Linked DNA regions of Sus scrofa. The protein of the gene in region 2 interacts with the protein of the main gene of each other region in a biochemical or structural test. Links are inferred from orthologs where the notes say so. Each region holds a gene or a part of one and is shown on either strand. Other genes may lie near its edges.

What was found.
Region 1: of the proteins of TRIM25 (region 2) and ZC3HAV1, one has a biochemical effect on the other in vitro, tested with the Homo sapiens proteins (2 studies listed by BioGRID). The link is inferred for Sus scrofa from reciprocal best matches to the Homo sapiens genes TRIM25 and ZC3HAV1.

What each region holds. Positions count from the first base shown.
Region 1 is NC_010460.4:10,567,798-10,571,450, reverse strand, and holds part of ZC3HAV1 (zinc finger CCCH-type antiviral protein 1), read right to left. Parts: intron 3,624-3,653; coding exon 3,449-3,623; intron 1-3,448.
Region 2 is NC_010454.4:33,205,842-33,209,494, forward strand, and holds part of TRIM25 (E3 ubiquitin/ISG15 ligase TRIM25), read right to left. Parts: intron 1,235-3,653; coding exon 1,135-1,234; intron 1-1,134.

The DNA of each region.
Region 1 (3,653 bases), on a different chromosome or scaffold from region 2:
CTAGTCGGATTCGTTAACCACTGCGCCACGACGGGAACTCCATCTTTACAGTATTCTTTTTAAGTCTACCATAAAATACGACCAAGAGTTCCCGTTGTGGCGCAGCGGAAATGAATCCAACTAGGAACCATGAGGGTGCAGCTTTGATCCCTGGCCTCGCTCAGTGGGTTAAGGTTCTGACGTTGCTGTGAGCTGTGCTGTAGGTCGAAGACACGGCTGGGATCCTGCATTGCTGTGGCTGTGGTGCAGGCCAACAGCTACAGCTCAGATTCAGTCCCTAGTCTGGGAACCTTCATATGCTACAGGTGCGGCCCTAAAAACAAAGCAAAACAAAAAAATATGAGCCAAGTGTACAGAGCAACCTGTACCCGACGAGCAGACATCAGGGCTACACTCGTTGTCTAACAGAATCCAACCCCCTGGCATGAAGTAGAACATTGTGGCTATTTCAGCCTATCATCCGATGAGAAAGCGTGGTTTCAAGGTGGAATGAAGGCTGAGTTCCCATTGTGGCTCAGTGGTAACAAAGCCGACGAGCACCCATGAGGACGTGGGTTCGATCCCTGGCCTCGCTCAGTGGGTTAAGAATCCACCATTACTGTGAGCTGTGGTGTAGGTCGCAGATGTGGCTGGGATTCGGCGTTGCTGTGGCTGTGGCGTAGGCCGGCTGCTACAGCTCTGATTCAGCCCTTAGCCTGGGAACTTCCATGTGCTGCAGGCGTGGCCCTAAAAAGCAAAAAAAAAAAAAAAAAAAAGCTGGGGGGTGCTTATTATGTATTCTTTTTTTTAAATTTTGACTTTTTCCATTATAGCTGGTTTACAGTGGTGTTTTTTTTGTTTTTTTTTTTTTTCTCGGTCTTTTTGCCTTTTCTAGGGCCCCACTGAGGCACATGGAGGTTCCCAAGCTAGGGGTCAAATGGGAGCTAGAGCTGCCAGCCTACACCAGAGCCACAGCAACATGGGATCTGAGCTGCGTCTGTGACCTACACCACAGCTCACGGCAATGCCAGATCCCGGCAATGCCAGATCCTTAACCCACTGAGCAAGGCCAGGGATCAAACCTGCAACCTCATAGTTCCCGCTTGTACGCGTTAACCACTGAGCCACGACAGGAACTCCTACAGTGTTCTGTTTTATTATGTATTCTTGAATTTACGTCTCAGTTTCAGTACCCAGGGCTTGGCTTTTGTCTTGTGCCTACACTATTGCCTTTCTTGGCTTTCTAGAGCTGTGGCTTGCCCTGGGCCTGGGCAATGAACTCCTGCCCCTCAAGGCCAGCTCTCCCAGTGGCTAAGCTTGGCTATCGGCGAGGAAACTTCTCCAGGGTCTGGGTCTGCACCCCCTGCCTGATGCAAAGCCCATGAGTCCCTGGCTCCACCTCCAGTTACTCCTAACTCTGTCCTCTCCCTGGCCCCCATCTGTGTAGGCGCCAAGTCCTGGCTTAGCACCTAAACTTCCACCTCTTAATTCTACCTTCCAGAGAGTTCACTGTCAAAACATACGCATCTACCCTTTTTTGGCCAAAGTTTCTACTCTCCCTGTTCCTATCAAGAAGGTTCCTAGCCCAGAAATTTCAGTTGCCCAACTCTTATTAAAAATTCAGTCAGCGACCCCTAGCCTGGGAACCTCCATATGCCGCGGGAGTAGCCCAAGAAATAGCAAAAAGACCAAAAAAAAAAAAAAAAAAAAATTCAGTCAGGAGTTCCCATCGTGGCTGAGTGGTTAACGAATCCGACTAGGAACCATGAGGTTTCGGGTTAGATCCCTGGCCTTGCTCAGTGGGTTAAGGATCTGGTGTTGCTGTGAGCTGTGGTATAAGTTGCAGACTCTGCTTGGATCCCACATTGCTGTGGCTGTGGTGTAGACCAGCAGCTGCAGCTCTGATTCCACCCCTAGCCTGGGAACTTCCATATGCTGTGGGCATGGCCCTAAACAGCAAAAAAAAAAAAAAAAAGTTTCTTGATGTTTTAGTAGGGAACATGAGTGACAGAATTTGTATAAATTTAAATGTGATCTATTCTCTGCTGAGCGTTCTTTAGTTATTTTATCTAATCACCAAGCTGAAGAACTGGAGTTTATAATTCCTGCTTCCACCGGCCCCTCACGGGGGAGTCACTTTTCCGCAAGTGCACTTTGCCATGATCCTCAGCTTAAACGAAGAAGAGCCCATACAAAGCTAGGGGTCAAATCAGAGCTGTAGCCGCCAGCCTACACCACAGCCACAGCAACTTGGGATCCGAGCCGCCCCTGCGACCTACAGCACAGCTCACAGCAACGCTGAATCCTTAACCCACTGAGCAAGGGCAGGGATCGAACCCGTGACCTCATGGTTCCTAGTCGGATTCGTTAACCACTGCGCCACGACGGGAACTCCTATTTCTTAATTTAAATTTTATTTTGTACTGGGGTATAATTGATTAACAAGGTTGTGTTAGTTTCAGGTGTACAGCAAACTGATTCAGTTATGTGTACGCATATATCCATGTTTCTTCAGATTCTTTTCCCATATAGGTTCCTGAAACGAGTTCCCTGTGCCATACAGCAGGCCTCTCTTTCTAATCCTATGAATCAAAGTGAAGAAAGACATTACACGGAAGCTCTGCTTATCTAAACTTCTCTCCCCTGTTTCTCCGTCCCTTTGTGGGTAAGCCTAGCATCTTCCAGTCTCTCTGAATCCAGACTGTGACTGAATCCCAGTGGCCACCTCCATCAGTCTTCTGATTGCTCACTCTTGCCCCTCTTCTGGCTGAAAGCAATGGCCTCTGTACATTTCTGTACCAACACATAGAGAGTCATCTCAAGGGGAGTTGCCGATGTGGCTCAACAGTAACAAACCCGACTAGTATCAGCAAGGATGCAGGTTGATGCCTGGCCTCGCTCAGTTGCCTAAGAATCTGGCATTGCTGTGAGCTGTGGTGTAGGCCGCAGACACAACTCAGATCCTGCATTGCTATGGCTGTGGTGTAGGCTGGCAGCTACAGATGACCCCTAGCCTGGGAACCTCCATGTACAGAGGGTGTGGCCTTAAAAAAAGCAAAAAAGAAGTTCCCGTCATGGCACAGTAGAAACAAATCTGACTAGGAACCATGAGGTTGCAGGTTTGATCCCTGACTTCATTCAGTGGACTAAGGATCCGGTGTTGCCGTGAGCTGTGGTGTAGGTCAGCGGCTGTAGCTCCGATTCAACCCCTGGCCTGGGAACCTCCACACGCCGTGGATGTGGCCCTGAAAAGACAAAAGACCAAAAAAAAAAAAAAAAATTATAATTGTTATGATGCAATCGGAGTACGTACTTGCTGAAAAAGTGCGGACAGGGCTGTGGGTATAACGTAAAAACGTACAGCATCCTCTACCAGGTTCCGGCCCCACGGTAACCAGGCAGGCATCAGAGTTTCTTCGGAAGTTGGGTAGTTTACACAAGAGTGTCCACAAGGAGGCAGTGTACTCACCTTCTCCCCATATCGAACCCATGTGTTAGGTCCGCTCTTCCAGTACCAAACCCATTTCGTGGTGAAGACAGTACCGGGCGGCCTCGTGACAGATGAAGGCGTGGAGAGGCGTCGGATGGGATTATAATCACAAGTCATCTCCTGGAAATTGAGTTTATAATTTCCAATAGAAAGGCTGAGAAGGGAAAGCTCAGTGTTAACAACA
Region 2 (3,653 bases):
ATAAAAGGAGAGAAGACATGGCGGGAGGAGGACATATGAAGATGAGGACAGAGATTGGAGTGATGCGGCCACAGGCTAAGGAACGCCTAAACCATCAGAAGCTGCAAGAGGCAAGGAAGGACTCTTCCCCAGAACTTTTGGAAGGAGTATGACCCTGTTGACACTTAGGAGGTCTGGCCTCCAAAACTGTGAGAGACCACACTTCCGTTGTCATAAGCCAAGTTTGTGCTAAGTTGTTTCAGTAGCCCTAGAAAATGAATACACTTTAAAAAATAAACAGATGCAACTTTTCCTTCCTGTCTTTCTCCCACTTAACTCATTACCACTTTTTATATTACTGTTTTCACTCTACTTTTTTTTCTTTTTTCTTTTTTTAATTTTATAGCCACACCCACAGCATGTGGAAATTCCCAGGCCAGGAGTCAAAACAGAGCTGCAGTTGCCAGCCTACACCACAGCCACAGCAATGCCAGATCCAAGCTGCATTTTCTTTTTTTCTTTTTCTTTTTCTTTTTTTTTTTTGTCTTTTTGGCATTTCTTGGGCCGCTCCCACGGCACATGGAGGTTCCCAGGCTAGGGGTCGAATCGGAGCTGTAGCCACCAGCCTACGCCAGAGCCACAACAACGCAGGATCCGAGCCGAGTCTGCGACCTACACCACAGCTCACGGCAACGCCGGATCCTTAACCCACTGAGCAAGGCCAGGGATCGAACCCGCAACCTCATGGTTCCTGGTTGGATTCATTAACCACTGAGCCACTACGGGAACTCCCCAAGCCGCATTTTTGACCTACACTGCCAACGAGGGATGCTTAACCTATTGAGCAAGGCCAGGGATGGAACCCACATCCTCATGGAGACTACATCGGGTCCTTAACCCTTGGAGCCACAAGAGGAATGCCTAACCCTAATTTTTAATGATTCCCTCCACCCAAAGCTGGGCTGTAGGAAGGTTTTGGGTCTGTCAAGGATCTCTCTGAGCACATAGCTTTTTGCATGTTTTCAAAGGCTGATGTTTACGTCTGACACTGTGAGTGAACCCAACATGAGCCATGGGGCAGTCAGGGCTGAGCCTGTCCTGCCTGGAGGAGGAGGGAGGCTGCAGAGCCAGGCTGTTGGTGGGAAGCCTCGTCACTCACCCGCACATCCTGCTGTTTAGCTCTCACGTCCTCCAGCGCTCTCGATGCACCGTTGATCTGACTGTACATGATAGTCAGTTTATGCCTCAGCTTGTTCTATGGAGGAAACAAACCAGGTGAGAAAACACCTCGTCCCAGACGCCACCAGCACTGGACGCCAGGGACCACCCCGAGTCTACCCCACAGATGTTTCCACGTCTTGACTGTTGTAGCTTTTTTTTGGAGGGGGGGAACATTCTCATATTTACCCCCCTCCCTTCATCCTTTCTGGGGGCCAGGACAATAAAGAAGTTACAAGCATAGGATTTGGAGCCAGACAGTCTAGACTCCCAGCTATCCAGCTGCCTCCCACCTATGTCCTTGGCCATGAAACAGATGCAACTGTTTCCACCCTGCAGGGCTAGTAGGGGGATTATCTGAGGCCGTAGCACAGCACCTAGATCTACAAGGACAAATGTCCTTAGTAAATCTCAGCTTGGGTTATTCTGGGCTTCTCCGCAGATGATGAAACTGAGGAAAGAAGACAGCAAGGTGCCCAAGCTCACAGAGACAGAATGAGCTGGGACAGCTGCTTCAGTGAGGGGCAGAGGAGGGTGTTCAAACCAACCCTCCCACTGCAAACAGCCAGAAAGGCAGACACAATATGGGGGGAGGGGGTCCTACTAAAAACCAGTGAGGAGCTAACAAAGCAGGGAAGGATTATGTGATAAGATCCAAGAAGGAGTTCCCACTGGGGCTCAGTGAAAACGCATCGGACTAGGAACCATGAGGTTGCGGGTTCAATACCTGGCCTCACTCAGTGGGTTAAGGATCTGGTGTTGCCGTGAGCTATGGTGTAGGTCGCAGACGTGGCTTGGATCGTGCGTTGCTATGGCTGTGGTCTAGGCCAGAGGCTAGAGCTCCGATTCGACCCCTAGCCTGGGAACCTCCATATGCCGTGGGTGCGGCCCTAAAAAGACAAAAAAAAAAAAATCCAAGAGAAGGAAACCCAGAGATAAGCCTGGCCTCGGGGGTTGTTCTCCCAGAACCACCTGCTCGTTCCGATGTCAGCCTCAGAGAGGCAGGGAGACACAAATCAGAGTCCAAAGCTCACTTGTAAGGGCCACAGGCAGGGAGGGCTACACCATAGGAATAAGGATGAAGCGGCAGAAGACCGGCTCACCAACAGCTCAATCCCTGAAACTGAATTAAGGGGATTCAGCATCGCTGCTAAGCCCCTAGCCACCTTCAGATACAAAGGTAGATTATGCAAGATGGAAGTTAATACTATCTGAAGCCTCTTAGTATTTCCATAAATTTCCATAATCAGTATCTGAATTTCACCCTTCTCAGGCAAAATGTTGGGGCATAGAACTGAGTAGGAAAATCACCACCACAATAATGGCAGCTAATGTTTATCATGTACTTACTCCAAGCCAGGCATTGTTCTCGGTTTTCCACATATTAACTATGTAAAGCTAAAAACAACACGAGGAGGTAAGGGTTATCCATCCTTTATAGATGATCACTGAAGCACAGAGTATTTAAGTGGCTTGCCCCAGGTCACATCGCGATTCATGGGTGTTACAATTACAGACTCATGTCCAAACTAAGCACACGGGAAATTTCTAGGGAAAAAAATATATGTTCCCTAACAGGCTGGCTCAACAATACTCTGGCCCTCTCTTCCATTTCATGGCCTTTCCCACTCCACCAGAGCTCTGCAGGGCTGAACCTGACCTTGACTCTTGAACAACCCAGTGACAGTCACATGTAACAGCTGGAAGAGACCAAGGCCAACCTAATTCAACCCAAAAGCCCAAGTCACTGATGACATTTCAGATGTGACCTCTGTAACAGTGTGCTTTGACCTGGCCTCTAACAGTGGCCAAGATAAACTATTGGCCAAAGGCAGAAGGTCAGGCCCAGGAGTTCCCATGGTGGCGCCGTGGTAATGAACCCCACTGGTATTCAAGAGGACACAGGTTCGATCCCTGGCCTTGCTCAGTGGGTTAAGGATCCGGTGTTGCCATGAGCTGTGGTATAGGTCGCAGACATGGCTGGGATCCTGTGTGGCTATGGCTGTGGCGTAGGCCAGCAGCTGCAGCTCCGCTTCCACCCATACCTGGGAACTTCCATAAACCACAGGTGTGGCCGTTAAAAAAAAAAGGTCAGGCCCAGGAAGATCTGGTCTCACTGGTCTTGGAGTTGGAAGAGACCTCAGGACACCTGGGAGCTACCAACGGTTTCACCTCCAAGACCCACTGTTAGCAAGACCCTGAACTTATTATTCTGAAAGATTTTGCCCACCATTAATCAACTGTATACAACAGTCCCCTGATGGTAGACGGCTATAGACAAAAAGAAAGCCGCCAAGATGTTGATAGCAGCGACAATGCCCGAATCAAGGGAAGGGGATTTTTCGAAGTTCTGAGGATCCCTTCACAAACTGGGGATTTGATGCCTCGATGTGGGACCCAGAGGCCCGAGTCCACCCCGCACCAGTGACTGAGCCAAGCTGGGCCGGCTTTGGCTC